4 linked regions of the Drosophila melanogaster genome follow. The protein of the gene in region 1 purifies or fractionates together with the protein of each later gene. This does not show direct contact. Each region holds a gene or a part of one and is shown on either strand. Other genes may lie near its edges. The genes, in order: TfIIFbeta, Polr2B, Mef2 and CG8117.

What was found.
Region 2: the proteins of TfIIFbeta (region 1) and Polr2B purify together in Drosophila melanogaster (affinity purification with mass spectrometry, with the first as the bait; one large-scale study listed by BioGRID). This does not show direct contact.
Region 3: the proteins of TfIIFbeta (region 1) and Mef2 purify together in Drosophila melanogaster (affinity purification with mass spectrometry, with the first as the bait; one large-scale study listed by BioGRID). This does not show direct contact.
Region 4: the proteins of TfIIFbeta (region 1) and CG8117 purify together in Drosophila melanogaster (affinity purification with mass spectrometry, with the first as the bait; one large-scale study listed by BioGRID). This does not show direct contact.

What each region holds. Positions count from the first base shown.
Region 1 is NT_033777.3:10,766,070-10,769,392, forward strand, and holds TfIIFbeta (transcription factor TFIIFbeta), read right to left. Parts: upstream 1,736-3,323; 5' UTR 1,631-1,735; coding exon 1,094-1,630; intron 1,029-1,093; coding exon 732-1,028; 3' UTR 553-731; downstream 1-552. Other genes in the region: CG45076 (uncharacterized protein), read right to left, coding at 2,148-2,967, 3,033-3,234. UniProt on the Drosophila melanogaster protein: TFIIF is a general transcription initiation factor that binds to RNA polymerase II and helps to recruit it to the initiation complex in collaboration with TFIIB.
Region 2 is NT_033777.3:14,124,166-14,130,656, reverse strand, and holds Polr2B (RNA polymerase II subunit B), read right to left. Parts: upstream 4,867-6,491; 5' UTR 4,711-4,866; coding exon 4,689-4,710; intron 4,562-4,688; coding exon 2,393-4,561; intron 2,318-2,392; coding exon 1,383-2,317; intron 1,324-1,382; coding exon 919-1,323; 3' UTR 546-918; downstream 1-545. Other genes in the region: 140up (upstream of RpII140), read left to right, coding at 5,181-5,353, 5,417-5,582, 5,644-5,732, 5,795-6,152; twf (twinfilin), read right to left, coding at 6,470-6,491. UniProt on the Drosophila melanogaster protein: DNA-dependent RNA polymerase catalyzes the transcription of DNA into RNA using the four ribonucleoside triphosphates as substrates. Second largest component of RNA polymerase II which synthesizes mRNA precursors and many functional non-coding RNAs.
Region 3 is NT_033778.4:9,926,563-9,931,455, forward strand, and holds the start of Mef2 (myocyte enhancer factor 2), read right to left. Parts: upstream 3,054-4,893; 5' UTR 2,338-3,053; intron 308-2,337; 5' UTR 1-307. UniProt on the Drosophila melanogaster protein: Transcription factor that could be a key player in early mesoderm differentiation and may be required for subsequent cell fate specifications within the somatic and visceral/heart mesodermal layers.
Region 4 is NC_004354.4:15,642,338-15,645,491, forward strand, and holds CG8117 (uncharacterized protein), read left to right. Parts: upstream 1-1,884; 5' UTR 1,885-1,953; coding exon 1,954-2,442; 3' UTR 2,443-2,654; downstream 2,655-3,154.

The sequences.
Region 1 (3,323 bases):
AAGAGGCTGCATTAGATATATGTTCTTGCCAGATTATTTACCCGCAATCGTGTACAAATGTAAGTTTTAGTTACGTATTATTAGGAAGCTTGCAATAGAAAGAATGCTTTAGCTTAAGCTTATCGATGTATGAATCAATATTTCTTTAGAGTAGTAAACCAGTATTATCTAAGCTCGATTTTCCTAAGCATGAAGCCGTTTTTTAGTTTTTCTTTCACTTCACTTTTTTAACTTTTTACGACGCTTTTAGTTGCTTATGAAATTTTCACATTTTTATTAATTTCTATTTCTTTTGAACATTTTTGATTTATTTTACTTTACCTACGAATAGATTTATTTCGTATTCTTATTATTTCTATGATTTCCTAAAAATTTAACACTATACCTCCTTTGATTTAGAACAAAAATAGACAAATGACTTTTTGATTGACGAAGCGCGTGTTTTGGAAATCCTCATGAGCTGATAGTACTAAATTCAAGTACCTGATCTCGTCTGTACAAAAGTATAAACATAAGAACTCTTCGGACATAAGACAAAGTTCAAGATAAATTAAGGATAAAGTGTATATATACGTATGTATTTACCAGAGTGCAAGCTAGTGTCTATTTACAATCATTTTAAGATATAATGTTTTTTTCGTAAGTATAACGTGTAGTTCTTAAGGAATAAAACGGAACCATGCAATTACTTAATGTGTTTTAATGAAAGTAAGTCGGCGATTCTCCCAATGCTACTCCGAGTCGCTGCTGCCTGACTTGTGCTCCTCCTCTTTCTTCTCTTCAGTCTTGTAGTGGCGATATTCTTTCTTGAGCTCCCACATGTTCTTGTGCGGGTTCTTCATATTGTAATCGCAGACATCCTTGAGAATCTCCTTCAGGTAGCTAATCGGCTGGTTGGTGATCTTGACCAGATCCTTGATGTTATAGTATTGATGCTTCTCGAATGCGTGGAAGAGCATATCCATCACGGCATTCTTGTCGTCGCGCGCCTTCTTGCCCTCGGCCTTCTTTCGCTCCCGATATTCAATCTGCAGGAATGGAGGAGTTATATATACATATATATTACCAAAACAGAGTGTATTATTGTTCTCACGTTGTGTGCGTGGTCTTTTACAGGCTTAAAGTTCTGCACGATTTTGTCGATAGGCTGCACACGTCGCTGTGGTTCCGATGCCTTGCGTATGGACTCCAGCTTTAGTTTCATGTAGCAGTTGTCGGCGATGGGTCGGCACTCTAGCTTTTGCACAATCCTGCCCTCCATATACAACTTTTCGTTATCCGGCTGTGCCGCCGAGGTAGTCGAGTTCTCCTTGCCATCGGACGGTGCCATGTGCGAGAATACGCCGAGCGTCTGCTTGGTGACCTGCGACACGTCCAGGATGTGCTCGGTGGGTATTTTCTCCTCGGGATCTAGAGCCAAAACGGCGGGCGTGAGGGAAAGCGAGACCTGGGCCTTTTGGCCAGGTGTCTTGTTTATCCGGAGCTTGCCCACGTCCATGTTCGTCGGCGCCTTCTCCCATTTCTGGGCAATGTACTTGGGCACCTTCACCAGCCATACGCCTCGCCCAGCATTGGACAGGTCCAGGTCCTTGTCGATGATCTGTGTCTTTTCCTTATCCTCCTTCGACATTCTGTTTGCTTTAAATTATTAAAAACGAATTTGCAAAGCCACTTGTACCGTTTTCGGCTTTGCTTGTTGTTGTTGTTTTGCCGTAAATTTAGTGCGGTCGAATAAACAGTTTCGAAAAAATGCTAGTTTAGTATATCACGGTATTTTTCTTTCGGTATTTATTCGTTATGTTATTATTAGGCGCCAAGTTTGAAAAAGTCCGAAGTGCAGATAACGAAATAGAACTATTTACATATCTGAATTTTATATAGTTAGCAAGAACTTTAGAACATAAGAAATAACTTTTATAATGAAATGTCTTAGAAAGAATATGATATCTTAATTTTGATTTATTCAGCAAATTTTATGACTAAATTTAGAACACAACATTGTATTGATTTAAGATGAATTTATGAATTGATGTGACACCTTATCCAGCATTATCCACCCCATTGCCCTATTAAATTGTTTTTCTAATATTTTTATTGTTTTTTCATTCTTTTTAAATTAGGTTGACAGCATGGTGATTGTGTAGAATCTATTCCTCCTCCTCTTCCTCGTCCTCCTCCTCCTCCGCATCGAGATCCTCCTCGTAGCTATTACCACCAGTGGGGGTAACATTAGAGCCGAGCTCGATGATCGGTTCCTGTTCCTCAACGGGCGTGACGGGCTCTTCGACCACAGGCTCGCTGGTCTCGTTCTCGTTCTTCTGGATGGCCTGCAGTTCCTGGGCGGCAAGCTCGGATTCCTGGCGGGCGATCTCGGCCAGCTCGGCGGCCTGGCGAGCAAGTTCTCCCTCACTCTCCTTCTCGATCTCCGCCAGGCGCTCCAGCTCCTGCTCACGGACACGCTGCTCCTCCTCCAGGCGAGCCTCTTCAGCGACACGAGCCTCTTCGGCGGCCTTTTGGGCAGCTTCTTCGGCGGCACGAGCCTCCTCTACAGCCTTCAGTGCGGCTTCTTCGGCGGCCTTTTGGGCAGCTTCTTCAGCCAGACGAGCCTCTTCGGCTGCCTTTAAAGCGGCTTCTTCGGCAGCCTTTTGGGCAGCTTCCTCGGCGGCCTTTTGGGCGGCTGCCTCCTCTGCTAGGCGAGCTTCCTCAGCAGCTTTTTGGGCAGCTTCCTCGGCGACCTTTTGGGCGGCAGCCTCCTCCGCTAGACGCGCTTCTTCGGCAGCTTTCTGGGCAGCATCTTCAGCGGCTTTTAGGGCTTTAGCTTCTTCGGCTGCTTTTTGGGCGGCAGCTTCAGCCAGGAGAGCCTCTTCGGCAGCGATTTTGGCGGCCTCCTCGGCAGCCTTTTTGGCCTTAGCAGCAGCCTGCTTTTCGGCCTCAGCCGTCAGGCGATCCCTCTCCTCCTTGAGAGCCCTTCGGAAACATCAAAAATTTAATAGGAAATGAGCTATGAGCTGGTGTAGGTAGTGAGCACCCACCTCTCTTCCCTACGCTTGGCTTCATCGGCTTTCTGGGCACGCTTCTTTTCCAAGTCCACCTCGTCGAGAGCCTCTTCGTTAACGGTTAGAAGACGCTCCTGGCGCAGACGCTGTTTCTCCTTGGCCTCCACATCGAGGGGATCCTCCAGGGGCCTAGGGGCAGAAAATTTTCTAGATGGACGGTTAGGATCCAACTCGGCATCTGAAATGTAATGCTTGTCAGAAGAGCCTTCACCACAGTGCCTATGCATTTGTATCTTATTTTTCATTTTACATTAAATATCCTTCACT
Region 2 (6,491 bases), 3.4 Mb from region 1:
TTTTTTTTTTTTTGTTGCTCTGAACTGAACTCTCTTATCGCGGCGCCACTTCGCGTTCGCGGATTTACACGCAATTTCAATTACTCATAAGCCGGGCTCAGGCGGGCTGACTGATGGGTGTCAGCATGGTCTTGGCCATCAGCCCCAACATTGGTATCAGCATTGGCAGCGACACGAGTTCGGTTGGGCCGATGCTGCTCGTTCCGTCGGAGCCACGTCAAGTGGCAATTAATAACTGTCAGTCGATTGGCGGCTGTGGCTACAGCTCCACCACCTTCTCCACCGCACACAATCCACATCCGACAACAAAGAACTAATCCCTTTTGTCACTGGGCGTCACAGACCGCGGGCCAAAGCATTACGTCAAAATCAAAGAAGGCAACAAAAGCTTGGCAAAAAAATAAATGCGAATGGAAAGGCTTTCTATGTAAAAAACCGAATTTAGGATACGCTTAGGGCGAAGGTATTTTGCTGGATAATGGACTTTGTTAGGGGATTACCAAAGAAAAATTGGAGCAAATAAAGAGTCAGAACGCAGATTATTTGATGTCCTAAAACGTACAGGGATTGACAACTAAATTGCCAACAAAAATTTAATCACAAATAATACCAAAACCTTTCAATGCCCTATTTGCCCTCTCAAGAAAAGTTTGTGAGCAAAATAACTTATTACAAATAAGCAAATAAATCACATTCCACTAACAGCTCTTGAACCCGTGCAGACTTTCGCCCAAAATACGCTTGTGGCACGTTCGCGTCTTTAAAAATGCTCGGCAGGTATTCGCTCCAGTTCCGGGAATAATAGAAAATGCCACACAAAGCACATAATTGAGTTGTCACAATTATGGTAATTTAATAATTAACTGCTAGCATTTAGCTTAGGGCTATTATGTGGTCCGGTTGCGGATACCGATCTGATTAGGTGACCATCAGGCGCGGCGCAATGTTCATTGACATCAGCTCCTGGAAGAGAAGCTTGGCCGCATATGGGAGTCGCACCTGGGAAATCTGCGTCTTGTTCTTGCAGCCCTTGCACTCGAACGTATTGTTGCGCAGATTGGCGATGGCAATCAGGCCACAGAAGTTGCAGATGTGTACGCGGTACGGATCGGAGACCTCGAATAAACGTTCTCGCAGGAACTGAGCGGCGCCGTGGGAGATCTGGCAATCACGCTCCATCTCACCGAAACGCAAGCCACCATCACGAGCACGACCTTCCATAGGCTGACGCACCAGGATCTGGACGGGGCCTCGAGCACGAGAGTGAATCTTGTCGTCCACCATGTGCTTAAGACGCTGATAGTAGGTGGGCCCCAGGAAGACCTGTAGTTAAGGGACTGATTAGTTTAAGATTATTGCAAGTTGAAAGTTAAGCAATTTACCTGAGCATTAATCTTTCGTCCAGTGTGGCCATTGTACATGACCTCATTGCCTCGAAGATGATAGCCGTACTCCTGAAGGAAGGTGGAGATCTTTTGCACGTTGACGGCATCGTTGAAGGGTGTAGCATCACCGATCTCTCCCTTGTTGGATCCCAGTTTTCCCTGCAGACACTCGATCAAGTGACCAATTGTCATACGAGATGGGATAGCGTGGGGGTTAATAATGATATCGGGTGCCAATCCCTCGCATGTGAAGGCCATGTCCTCCTGACGGTACTGGATGCCGCACGTTCCCTTTTGTCCGTGACGAGAAGCGAACTTATCGCCGATCTGCGGAATACGCACCGAGCGCACTCGAATCTTGCAGAACTTGTAGCCCTCGCTGTTGAGCGTAAGCATCACCTGGTCCACAATACCCGTCTCAGAGTTTCGCAGGAAAGTGGAGGCATCTCGTTTGGAGAAACGCTTCGTGTTGCTGTCCAGTTCGTCGTCGTTTTCAGGAAGGGTAATGGTCTTGCCAATAACCACATCGTCGCCAGATACACGAATTCCTGGGGCAATAATTCCATCATCGTCTAACTTGTCGTAGTGAGCATTTCTCATTCCTTGGCAGGTGCCGCGATGAGGCTTCTCGAAGTTCTCTTCCTGATCACCGACACGTTTGTTCTCCGAATCCTTGTATGATCGGTAGAACACAGAGCGGAAGAATCCACGCTCCACAGCGGATGCATTCAGAATGACAGAATCCTCCTGGTTGTAGCCAGTGTAGCAGAGAATAGCCACGATTGAATTGATGCCAGCTGGTAGTTCTCGGAAACGCAGGTACTCCATGGAACGTGTGGTCACAAGTGGCTTCATCGGATAGTAAAGTACGTGGGCTAGTGTGTCCATACGCACGTGGAAGTTGGTAATATAAACGCCCATAGCTTGCTTACCTATAAAAGATGAAAAAAACGTTATAAATGGATTAGTATTTCAAGTAGAACAGTAATGAATACTCATAAACTTACCCATAGCGCTTTGATAGGTGTTACGCGGACTCTGATTGTGATCGGGGAAGGGAATAATGGACGCGCACACGCCCAGGATCATGGCTGGATGGATCTCACAATGTGTGTATGTGGTACAATAAGCATAATCCTTGTCCTGCTTCAGATCGTAGGGAGACATAGCGATCATGACCGTTTCCTCCTCAAGGGTATCAATGTACTCCACCACTCCAGAGGCTACAAGGACCTGCCAACTGTAGTTGTTGTAGTCTCGCTCCTTTAACATCTCCACGTGAGTCTTTTTAAGCAGCAGCGATCCGTTTTCCACGATGAGAAGTGGCCGACAAATGCGACCAGCATCTGTATAGATTCGGATCTCACGATCTCGAATGTCTCGAATCATAGACACCTCTGACACGATGATATCCATCTGGCGACGCAACTTACGAAGCGTTGCCATGAGCTGCTCAGGATCACGATGTATGCCCACCCAGCAGCCGTTCACAAAGATCTTTGTAGCATCAGCGATGGCAGAAGGAGCAATTTCCTCCAGGTTTTCCATAGACCACTCCTCCAAGAACTCCAGAATGGGAGAAGGTTGTGATCCCACAGAAATGTAAGCCATGAGCGCCAGGTTCTTCACCAGACCAACAGCTGCTCCCTCAGGAGTTTCAGCGGGACACAACATACCCCAAAGAGTATTGTGCAACTGACGAGGTTTGGCCAGTTTACCGTCTCTGCCAATTGGCGAATTCACACGCCGCAAATGGGAAAGAGTAGAGGCGAAGGTCAAGCGATTCAACACCTGGGAGACACCGGCTCTCGCCTGATGCGCCTTCTTCTGGTCGCCCCAATTGCCAGTGGCCAAGGAATACCTTAAACCATCAGTAATAATATTAGTCTTGATGGCCAGTTCAAGGTTGAAGTCCTTTCCGCGATCGATGAACTTCTGTGTGTACATGCGCACCTCTTTCATCAGGTTTTTGAACAGACCACGGAAGAGGAAGGCCAGGAGGGGTCCAGCGAGATCAAGTCGCTTGTTTCCATAGTGATCTCGATCATCGAGTTCTCTCCTGCCCAAAGAGGCTAAGAGCAGCCGGTGAACCATGTAGCCCAAAAAGTATGCCTTCTTGGTCTCGCAGAAATCGGATACTCCAACGTGGGGCAGCATTTCCTTTTGCAAAATTTCCTTAGCGTACTTTATACGCTTGTCTTTTGTGACTCCGGGACGTGCTCCTCTAGCTCCAATGAAATTCAAGGCAACATTCTGCTCTTGGACTACAAAAGCCTCGTCCAGAGAAGGTTTCACCATTTCCATCATCTCGGGATCGTCGAAGTCATAGATGATATGCTCCAGAATATCGCGATCGGCCACGAAGCCCAATGCTCGAAACACAATCATAATGGGTATCTCCTGTTTGATGTACGGTAAGATGGCAATAATCCTCTGACCAATGGCTGACTTTTTTATGTTTTGCGATCCTCTTGCCATCATGTTTACCCACAGTGTAGACGTGGGTCTGGAACTGTGCTCCAAACACGACCGAATCTCAGTCTTAAAGGCATACTTGCCATCTTTCATGCTGAACACGTACACTGTGTTGGTGGCCATTTTCTCTTGGGCAATTAGCACCTTCTCGGAGCCGTTGATGATGAAGTAGCCACCGGGATCCAACGGGCACTCGTTCAGCTCCGTAAGATCACGATCAGTAAGCTGTGATAGCAAACAGTACGTTGATCTCAACATGATGGGAATCTTGCCTATGAAAGTCTTTTGATGCTGCGTTTCCACGGGATCCAGGCCCTCGACATTCTTGGTTTTCGTAATGTCCACGTAGAGAGGAGCGGAGTAAGTTAGATTTCGCAGGCGGGCCTCGTTCGGCATCATAGGACTGGGCGAACCATCCTTTTCCCAATGTGTTGGCTTGGAAAGATAGATTTGCTCGAATTTCAGCGAGAATCTGGGCGGGGTTTCCACCTCTCCGGATGTGTGCTGCGCTTCCGCCTGCAACTCAATGGCGGGGGAATCCTCCACAATGCGCTGCACCGACATCTGAATGAACTCATCGAAACTGTCCAGCTGCTGCCGCACCAAGCCCTTCTCGTCGAAGTACGCGTTAATCACGATCCAGCAGGCTTCCTGCCACAGCTCGTGAGAGATCTCCTCGGCATTCTCCTCCTCGTACAGTTCTGCAAGATGTTATTTGACCATTGAAATTCATTGCTAACAATGCGGAGCCCTAGCGCTCCAGCCGCCATATTAATTTTGGTACACGCCAACGTGCATGCACAAATTTTCGCAATTCATTTTACTCACCTTCCTCGTTGTCGTACATCATGATTTCAGTTTTCTAAAGTGCAGAAGCACTTTATGCGTTCAAGTAAATAACAATAAATTGGATTTGCAATGAATTAAATTGTAAAAACGTAGAAAATTTCACAACAAATGTTTGCCGACAACGCGATTAGCGGCGTTGTGCTGTGTTGGTAAACGGCAAAAGCAAAGCACAAGGTGCAGTTCATAAAGTTATAGCAAATACTTGTAAACACAATAAAATTGTTTTTGGCAACAAAATAAATTTAAAAGTGTGAATGATATAAGAAAAAAATATATGAACAACTAAATGAGTATGTAACTTAAATTATTATAATAATATAATTTTATTAATAACAAACGCATTTAAATTAAAAACAATTAAACCGAGAGTTTGCCAACACCAATGACACGCACACTTTCCAACACTAACAGACCGGCAAACAGCTGAGATTGTTGTACTCGTTTTACTTGGTTATTTAACACGCTTAAAAAATGAATTTTCTGTGGAAAGGACGCCGGTTTCTGATCGCAGGCATCCTGCCAACATTCGAAGGCGCCGCAGATGAAATAGTCGATAAGGAAAACAAAACATACAAGGCCTTTCTGGCCAGTAAACCACCAGAGGAAACAGGACTGGAGCGCCTCAAGCAAATGTTTACAATCGAGTAGGAAAACTAAGAATTCCATTTATACTAAAATCTACTGACCGTACATAAACATTTAAATAGCGAGTTTGGCAGCATATCCTCCGAGCTTAACTCGGTTTACCAGGCCGGCTTCCTAGGATTCCTTATTGGAGCTATTTACGGCGGAGTTACACAATCGCGCGTGGCCTACATGAATTTCATGGAGAACAACCAGGCCACAGCATTTAAATCGCACTTTGATGCCAAGGTAGGTATCTACGTATTATCATTTAAATATGTTATAATCAAGTTTTTAATCATAATTACAGAAAAAGCTGCAAGATCAATTCACAGTCAACTTTGCCAAAGGCGGCTTCAAATGGGGCTGGCGAGTGGGACTTTTTACCACATCCTACTTGTAAGTTCAGCAACACGAATTCAAATCTGTATCTGTGTGATACAAAAATGTGTTCCTTACAGCGGCATCATCACTTGTATGTCGGTGTACCGTGGAAAATCCTCAATCTACGAATACTTGGCCGCTGGTTCCATCACCGGCTCGCTTTACAAAGTGAGTCTTGGTCTGCGGGGCATGGCGGCAGGTGGAATCATTGGAGGTTTCTTGGGCGGCGTGGCTGGTGTGACGTCGCTGCTGCTGATGAAAGCATCAGGGACCTCGATGGAAGAGGTTCGCTACTGGCAGTACAAATGGCGACTCGATCGCGACGAAAACATTCAACAGGCGTTCAAAAAACTGACAGAGGACGAAAACCCAGAGCTTTTCAAGGCCCACGACGAGAAAACATCCGAACATGTATCGCTGGACACGATCAAGTGAGTCCTGAGGACTTAAAGAAGACGCCAGTGTGAACTTAGTTACTTTTTTTAATTTAAATAAATTGCATATATGTCCATCTAAAGTTACATAGACAAGAATACATTTAAGGAAGCCCACTTTGGCGGCTGCTATGCGATGTTTCAGTTGATGCCTAGTGCCTCTAAAGATATCGACTGACGTACGGACACATATAGACACGGGATAGACACAACACAAAAGAAATAAACGATTGGATACAATAAATTAAATGCTCTGCTAGGAAACAGTACGTAGAAGGGCGATAAACAGAATTGACTCGGTGGGATCGGGATTCAGACTTAGTCCTCTGCGGTGGGACGC
Region 3 (4,893 bases), on another chromosome or scaffold:
TTTGAAGCAAGTGAAATATCGGCAAACTTCGATTTCCAATATTTTTGCAAGCAATCGCATTGGCTCCGCGATATCTGGCTCTCTTCCTGCACCGCGTTTATCAACAATTTCGATTGCAGAAATGCCAGCAAAAGCAAAAGAATCCAAGGTTTTTGTTTTTCGCCCCGAAACACGCGTCTCATGTTAAGGTAGTCGAACAAATTTGAGTTCTCGGGCCCCGAGTCACCTAGAAGTACACCTAGAGCACTTCTATCTTATCGCCAGCACCTACACAGCCGCAAAAGCGGGCGGAGTGTGGGGGAGGGAGCTAAACCAAAACACAGGCGCAAACAGAAAGAAATCGTTATAATAATAATAATTATTATTATTTTTATTTTTATATACAATATATGTGGGGGAGCGCGGCGGCAATAACCATAATTATCACAGACACTCGAGAGCCGCAAACACGGCAAATGGCAAAGGAACATTTATTTTTTTAATAACTACACCAACACATCGACCAGATTGTGCTTCATTTGGCTTGTCAGTGAGCGTGGGCACCTTCACATGCGCACGTGTGATAAGAAAGACTCTCGCTCTCGATGGCAGATAGTGGCCGCAAAAAAAAAAAAACACGAGCAAATAAAACAAATTTTGATTTCGAATTTTTTATCAAGCACCGAAAACGCCAACAACAAACGTAACTCAACTATTTTTCGTTGAAAATTTGCCAACAAATTATTTTGACCTGATAAGATGTCGTTTGTGGGTTTTCCTTCATGGATTGTATTCTTTATTTTACTTGCAGTTTTTCAGAATCGTGTGTCATTTTTGAATTTCAAAACTAATTGAAAGGCATCCAAAAAAAAAAAACAGTTAAAACATTTATTTTTTCGCTTAACTTATGAAGCTTTAGGTATTGGAAATAACTAAATTGTTATAGAATGAGATAAATAATAATGAAATAATAAAGAAAATAAATAAATAATATTATAATTTCTCTATTGATGGAACACTTAAAATACAAAAAAGAAAATAAATAAATAATATTATAATTTCTCTATTGATGGAACACTTAAAATACAAACGCGACCCAAACGTGACTACACCAAATAGTGTTAAAGATCTCGGAGGTTAATGATGGTCGTGATGATGGTCCGAACGTGAACGTGATCGGAGGTGGGGTCCCGTTATCTAGGCTCTGCAATGCCGAATGACCGTAATCGTTTATCGGCGATCGCCGTGGCTAAGTCCACGGCAAATCTGCGGTGATTATCGCCTTCGAATGGCTTTGTTTGTTATTTGAACCCACTGCTCCCTGGATCGAAACGAAATTCCCCTACTCCCTTCCCACGCGACCCCCCTTATGATCCTGCGTAGGTGTCAAAGTGCATTGCACGCATGTCCAGCTGCCTGAGGCGAGATAAGAGAAAATATAATTCTCTGTGCATTTGCTGCTGGCTGAAACAAAGTGCAGACAATTATCAGCAAATTCGCCAATCAGCCAGCCAGCCAGCCAGCCAGTCAATCAGTCAGTTAGTCGGTTGGTCGGTCGGTCGGCCATAAAAACTACATGCAAAAGAACTTGATAGCAGGGAAATGGATTTGAACTTCGCCGGAGGAGTACGGTTCTCGCGGGCCCTCAATATTGATACGAAAATCGCTTATCAGTGGAACGTATATAGTATTTGTGTGTGCGTGTTCGCCCGTCCGAGTGTATGGCAGCTACTCTCAGCATTAAATCGCAAGAAAAGAAATTGAAACATCGAATGATATCAATTGAAAGGGAACTGTTTGAACTGGAATCAAGACAGCGAGGCACAATTCGAAAACCCGGCCGATATCTCTTTTTTTTTTCTTCGGAATCCCAACGTTTGGCTCAGCGATGACGTCAGTGTGCATGGGTAACTTGCTTATTTGGTTCCCGACATGCCGGCTGCCAGTGTTTTTGTAATTGTAAATTATATATAATCAAATTGCCCTATCGGCATATGAAAGGAGGGGTTTACAGCCCATCGATGATCTGTAAATAATTACTAAGCCTTTGGGCGGAATAATAGCTCAATGAGCAAAGGTGGATATGATAACCAAAATTAGGTTTTATAATTCATAATTTATAATTAATTTAACAATGTGTCTCAAAAGTATGACTAACCGAAAATCACTTATAATGTAATGAGGCATTCAATTGGATTTTATGACGCTCATAAATATAAGTCAAATGGTTATCACAAACAGGAAAAATTATTCTTAATACAAGAATGAAAATCTTTCTACCCATTTCGCAAAGGTACTTTGGTTTTAAAAACTAGTTTTCAAACCAAAAACATTCCTCATTGCAGTAGATAAACTTACATGAATCGCTTTTTAGCTGAGCTTCCGTTTTCTCGAAAAAATGTTCTCAAAAATACACTACTCAATAGAAACCGACGAGTTTTGAACTTTTCTGGGGATGTCAGGTCGCTGGCGAGGTGTTTGCACAAATGTTTCCGAGCACACACACGAAAATCTTTGCAATTGAGATGCAAATTGAATTATTGTTTGAATTCTGGCTTTGTTTACGCCGCTCGTTCGATAAACATCGGGGCGAAATGCAGTCAGTGATATGTTTGCTGTTGTGTTTGTCGTGTGCTTTAGCTTTTTGTAAATATAAACAAAGTCCGGGCAGGCGGGGGCGGGGATGTCGCGGCCGCGGTTGGCGCAAATAAAAGTTAAAAATAAAAACTTATAATTGTCCGACGGCTGTTGTTATTTTTATTATTGTTGCCATTTATTTTTGGAAATAGACGTTGAATTTGTTTATATGGAGTAAAAATAAATTATTGCGCGTAGTGCGAGAGCAGCGGGCCAGCATAATTTCTCGCGGCGTTCGATATAGGATCTCTATCTGTTGTGAATCGCTAGCGGAATCGGATCGTTGGATCGTTGGCTCGGAATGAAAATATCGAACTCGCAAACGGATCGCAAACTGATCTGCCGAAATCGAATCGAATCGAAATCTCAAAATCTCGAAATCCCGAAAACCGAAAAACTGAAGAAGCGGCGCTGCGGACGCGTACAAACGTACTGACGGATATGCCGTCGTTGACGTCGTAACGCCAAGTACGCACACACAGATACGCCCGCACACAGCTGCACTGCGCCAGGCTCTCTCGCAGTCGCACACTAACACACACACGCACAGCCAGCAACGAACACGTATACGTAGGCTGGCGGTGAGGATTTTCGTTTCGTGGTGAACTCACTCACACGCGCACACCTTCTAACGGTGCCTTTTGTTTTTGCCTTTTTGTGTAACAGAATATCGCACACATACATTGCCGGGCAATCGGAGAGCGGGAGAGACGGAGAGAGTGCGCAGCCGCTGACTTTGAGTTCCTACTCACAACGAAAGCAAGAGTGAGCGAGAGGTGGCGGGGGGTTAGAGTGTGGGGCTGGTGGGGGTGAGTGAGTAATTCGGTTTGTGAGTGAGTGCGTGCGGGAGTCGAACGAGAAACATATGGTTTTTGTTTGTGCCCCAGCCAGACACACACACACGCACACTCACCCACACACTTGATCAATCAGCAACAGTTACAGTTAGTTCCCTCGCCGAGCTTGTTGTCCCGCTCTGGCAACCTCCCATAAATGTTAATTATCCCCCACTTCACCACCCCCATTAACTACACCCCTGCTAAACATCGCTTTGGTTTCCGTTTTCCTTTGTATCCGTATCTCCCTGCCCTGCCAGGACCTCTCCCCTCCCGCTTTGCCCACTATCTGGTTTTTTTTTTGTGTGTATTTTATTTATTTGTCCTTGCCACTGGATCCTCTCTATAAACACCCACCCACCATTAGTTTTCCCCTTCGACGCAGCTTAATAAAAACTTTGTTGACCTGCGTTTGGCAGTAGAAAAAAAGGTAAGTATATACTCGATACCCTGTTACAAAAGATGGGGCATACTTACTGGCTGTGGTTACGCCTTTTAGAAACGCGAAGTATGATATAACTATCATTAAAATTAATTTCATTTTTAATAGGTTATATTAACTTTGGAATTGTGACAGCTGTTTAGCTTCTTAGCTCCGATGTGAACGTAAACTAGAATGTTGAACTTGATTCAGAAAAAATAAAGCGTAAATCCTTTTTTCATTTGTTACCTAATTTTGTGCGATACAACATACAACATATCCTGTAATTCGTCTGCTGGCGGGTACACAAAACAAACAGGAAGGAATCGGAAGGGACAAAGAGTAGGACCCGTAGGATCCTAGGGTGTGCGGCAACCAACGATTCATTGTTTCTGCTCGATTGATGATTGCCTATTCAGACAGAGGTAAAGTAGTTGTATGGCTGAAGTTGGGGCTTAATTTGTGAATCGGACCGCCAGCCAGCCAAGTGGGATCCAAAGCCCTGTGACCCAGACCCTGTCTATTGTTGCGTTAAGCGAGATATTATTTACCTTAAACACGCTCTATTATGCAGGTTATGTAGGCGAAAAGATAATAAAGTAGGGATACATGTACCCCAACTTGATCCCAATAGAGTTTATTACAAAAATCGACTTTTATAAAAGCAGGAAAATTGGGAACGTTGTATGTGATTAGTCCACATCTGGGAGGCAAATAAAAGCTGTGGCTACTTTCCAGCCATCTATAGTTCTAACCCATATAGGAAATGATTTTGCGTCTATTTATACATAATAAAAATATTTCCAATAGCGAGAATTTTAGTGATTAGCCATTACCATATGGCATTTAAATCAATAAGAAAATATATTAAAAGATTTTCTTGTTTACTGTAAGTTGCGATTTAATAACTGGAGTGATAGTTAAAACACAGACAAAAGGACATTAAGGGAGGTGAAATCTTAAGGAATGCCCATATTGCAGTTGCAGTTAAGTGGACGCAACTTTAACGTGACTTTCCGA
Region 4 (3,154 bases), on another chromosome or scaffold:
TTATGAATCGCTTGTGGCCAAGCGGCATCCAAAAACTGCATCTACAGTCCAACAACAACAACAAACACAACAAAAAACGATGACGGTGAAAAAAAAGTTAAAAAAGGTAAAAAAAAAAAAAGGCAAGTTCGCTGCCATCGGCGGATTGCGCATTTTGAACGCCGGCGCGTACTAATCACTCGCATTGTTACACGATCACGCCATGGCATCACGTAGCCAAGGTGAAAGAATGCCACGCCGGGGGCGTAGCGGGCGGGTGGGCGTGGCAGTGGGCTGGCTTCGACGGGAGACAAATAGGCAGCGAATGTAACTGCACTCCGGCGATGGGAAACGTTCATCCAGCCATCGATTCAACCATCCAGCCAGGCAGCCAGCCAACCAACCAACAATTGGACTTTAGAAAACTTGGAAAATGCAAATTGATCGAGGTAAATTAGTGGAAAATTGCTGCGTACTGGAATTTAACTATTTAAGTGGGACATTTTAAGTTTTATTCACACATAATTGATGATTCTGCAGGAGTTATTAGTAAATCCTCATCGATCTTCATGTAATCATTCAAATGTTTTGTAATATATTATACATAAACCACATTGTCCAAACTTTATTTACTTATATTTGTGTTTTTTAAGATTTTTCTTCAATTTGATTTAAGATTTTGCAAGAATGTTATCCAAAAGCTAATGTATTTTGAACAGTAGTTTGAAACAGGAACATATTTGAGATATTTTCTTAAATTTTCTTTGGTTGCCCCTCATGTTGGCCACACACTTTCTTTTTATTTTCGCCAATCTGGAGAAATTGATTGGCCACAAAGGTTCAAGGTTTTACCCATTGTTCTGGGGCTTGTTTACCAAGCCAAATACGTTGTTGGCCGAAAGGTGAAAGACAAAAGGCCGCCAAGGTCAGTAATCGGCCGTGAACCAATTCCCCAGACCATTGATAGATAGATACATTTGTATCTTTATATTTGGGTAGCTTCGAATCGATGGCGGCTGTTTACGTTACGCTGAGGTCGTCAAGTTTAACAGTTGAAGGTCGGCGGAGGCGTTTAAAAACGCTAGAAAAACGCGCACGCACAGTGGGACGAAAGCGAAGCCAAGTGGGACGTTGGCAAGCGGGGGTGTGGCTGGGTGGTGGGTGTTTTAGATGTTTGTGTGGTTAAGTACATTAGCAGATTTATATCCGGCAACAATAAAAAGAACGATTCGCTAAAAAGCTAATGACTTGGATAATGATTTCGATTTTGTTTTCAATTTCGCTCGCTTGGGCTTTTTTCCTACTTTTTGTGGCTACCCCCCCCCCCCCCCCTTCGTCACTGTTGTTTGGCTTTTCAATATTTCAATTTTCCATTTCCCATTTTCCTTTTTTTTTTTATTACTCATTTTCCTTTTGTTTTTGGTGCTTCTGCGGGATTCGTGCGTCAATAATTAGATCATCTCCGCGCTGTTTGTTGTAGACGATTAGCGAAATCAAAAGCCAGCGGCGCACAAAGAAAGCGGAACGACAAACACAAACATATAGACTAAATGGGAAATATCATTTCCATTTCGATTTTGATTTTCATTTGTGTTTGGTTTTCCTTTCAGTGTCCAATTTTAGCACATTTCTTGGGGGCCACAGCGGGCGTTATGGAATAGTGATGCATTACGCAGGGGATTCCCAAATCGAACATTTATACATATGTAGATTTATCTATTCAAATTCATACTAATTACATGCTAATCACAACGGTTAAGAAATGATTAAGTAGAAATATTGCATAATAAATCCGAAATATTTAGACCTTAATCAAGTTGGGTTGTAAAGTTGCCGAGTAAAAACCTTCATTTACCTTGCCGTTCCTGTCAGCTTAGACATCTCTCAGTGACCTCTCAACTTCTCACAATCTAAAAATTGTGCTTTCCGGTTTCGTTGAATAAATTCACTAAACTTTCTTTCGATTTTGCAGCCATGTCCATGGAAATACGCATCAAGTGCCGCGAGATGTTGGCAACCGCATTGAAATCGGGCAACATGCCACCAGGATGTGGCGATCCGGATGACATGGCCGCTAAACTGGAGGACGCAATTTACGGCGACTTGAACGGCTGCAAGGTGAAGTACAAAAATCGCATACGTTCGCGTTTGGCCAACTTGCGCGATCCGAAGAATCCAGAGCTGCGCCAGAAGTTCCTATTAGGTCAAATAACGCCCGAAGAGTTATCCAAGATGACGCCCGAGGAGATGGCCAGCGATGATATGAAGCAGATGCGCCAGAAGTACGTTCAGGACTCGATCAATGCGGCACAGATGGCCAAGGTTCAGGGCACCAAGACGGATCAGTTCAAATGCGAACGCTGCGACAAACGCAACTGCAGCCAATTGCATATCCGTGATGGTGACGAGCCCATTATCACCTTTGTGATATGCGACGAGTGCGGCAACCGCTGGAAGAGCTAGACAACCGTGGAGAGAGTCCCTTGAAGGAGTCACCCGTCTTGGCTGGATACCAAGCAAACGAACTCACACAATTCACAATATCTCATATCAATAAACAGACTGATCTTCCGTTGGCTTCCACAATATGTAAATAATACTTTAACAAGAATACATACAACATACAACATACAACATACATATTATGGAAATATATTACATGTCATAAAAATCTTATTCATTCGTTTTAAATACCAGAGGGTATCAATGAGTCCATCATCGATGGATGCTCCTTTGTTCGCCTGCGAAAGCAGATAAACTAGCACCGAAAGTCCGAAAGAAAGCAAATCTTTGTTTCATAAACATTCAACAATATACGAGTTTGCTTGTATAAAAAACGAGCATAGCGCGAGCGTTAATTTAATGAATTTTTCGACTATTAGTTAGCACTTTACACTTTAATGAATCATTCGGCGCGATGATCTCGGAGTGGGTGGGATCGGATGGGATTGAATTGGATTGAATTGAATTGGATGAGATGGTATATATAGTATAGTATACTATGTTTAGTATGCGTGGGTCGTTTCCAAGTGCAGACAAATTATAGACGTTAAAGCATTTGCTTTATGGCCCACATTAACGGCATTGAATGGGATTATGGGTTTGGGATTCAGGTTTGGACTGCGAACTGGGATGATAGGTGGACTCTTGATGGGCACAATGGGAATTGCTCCCC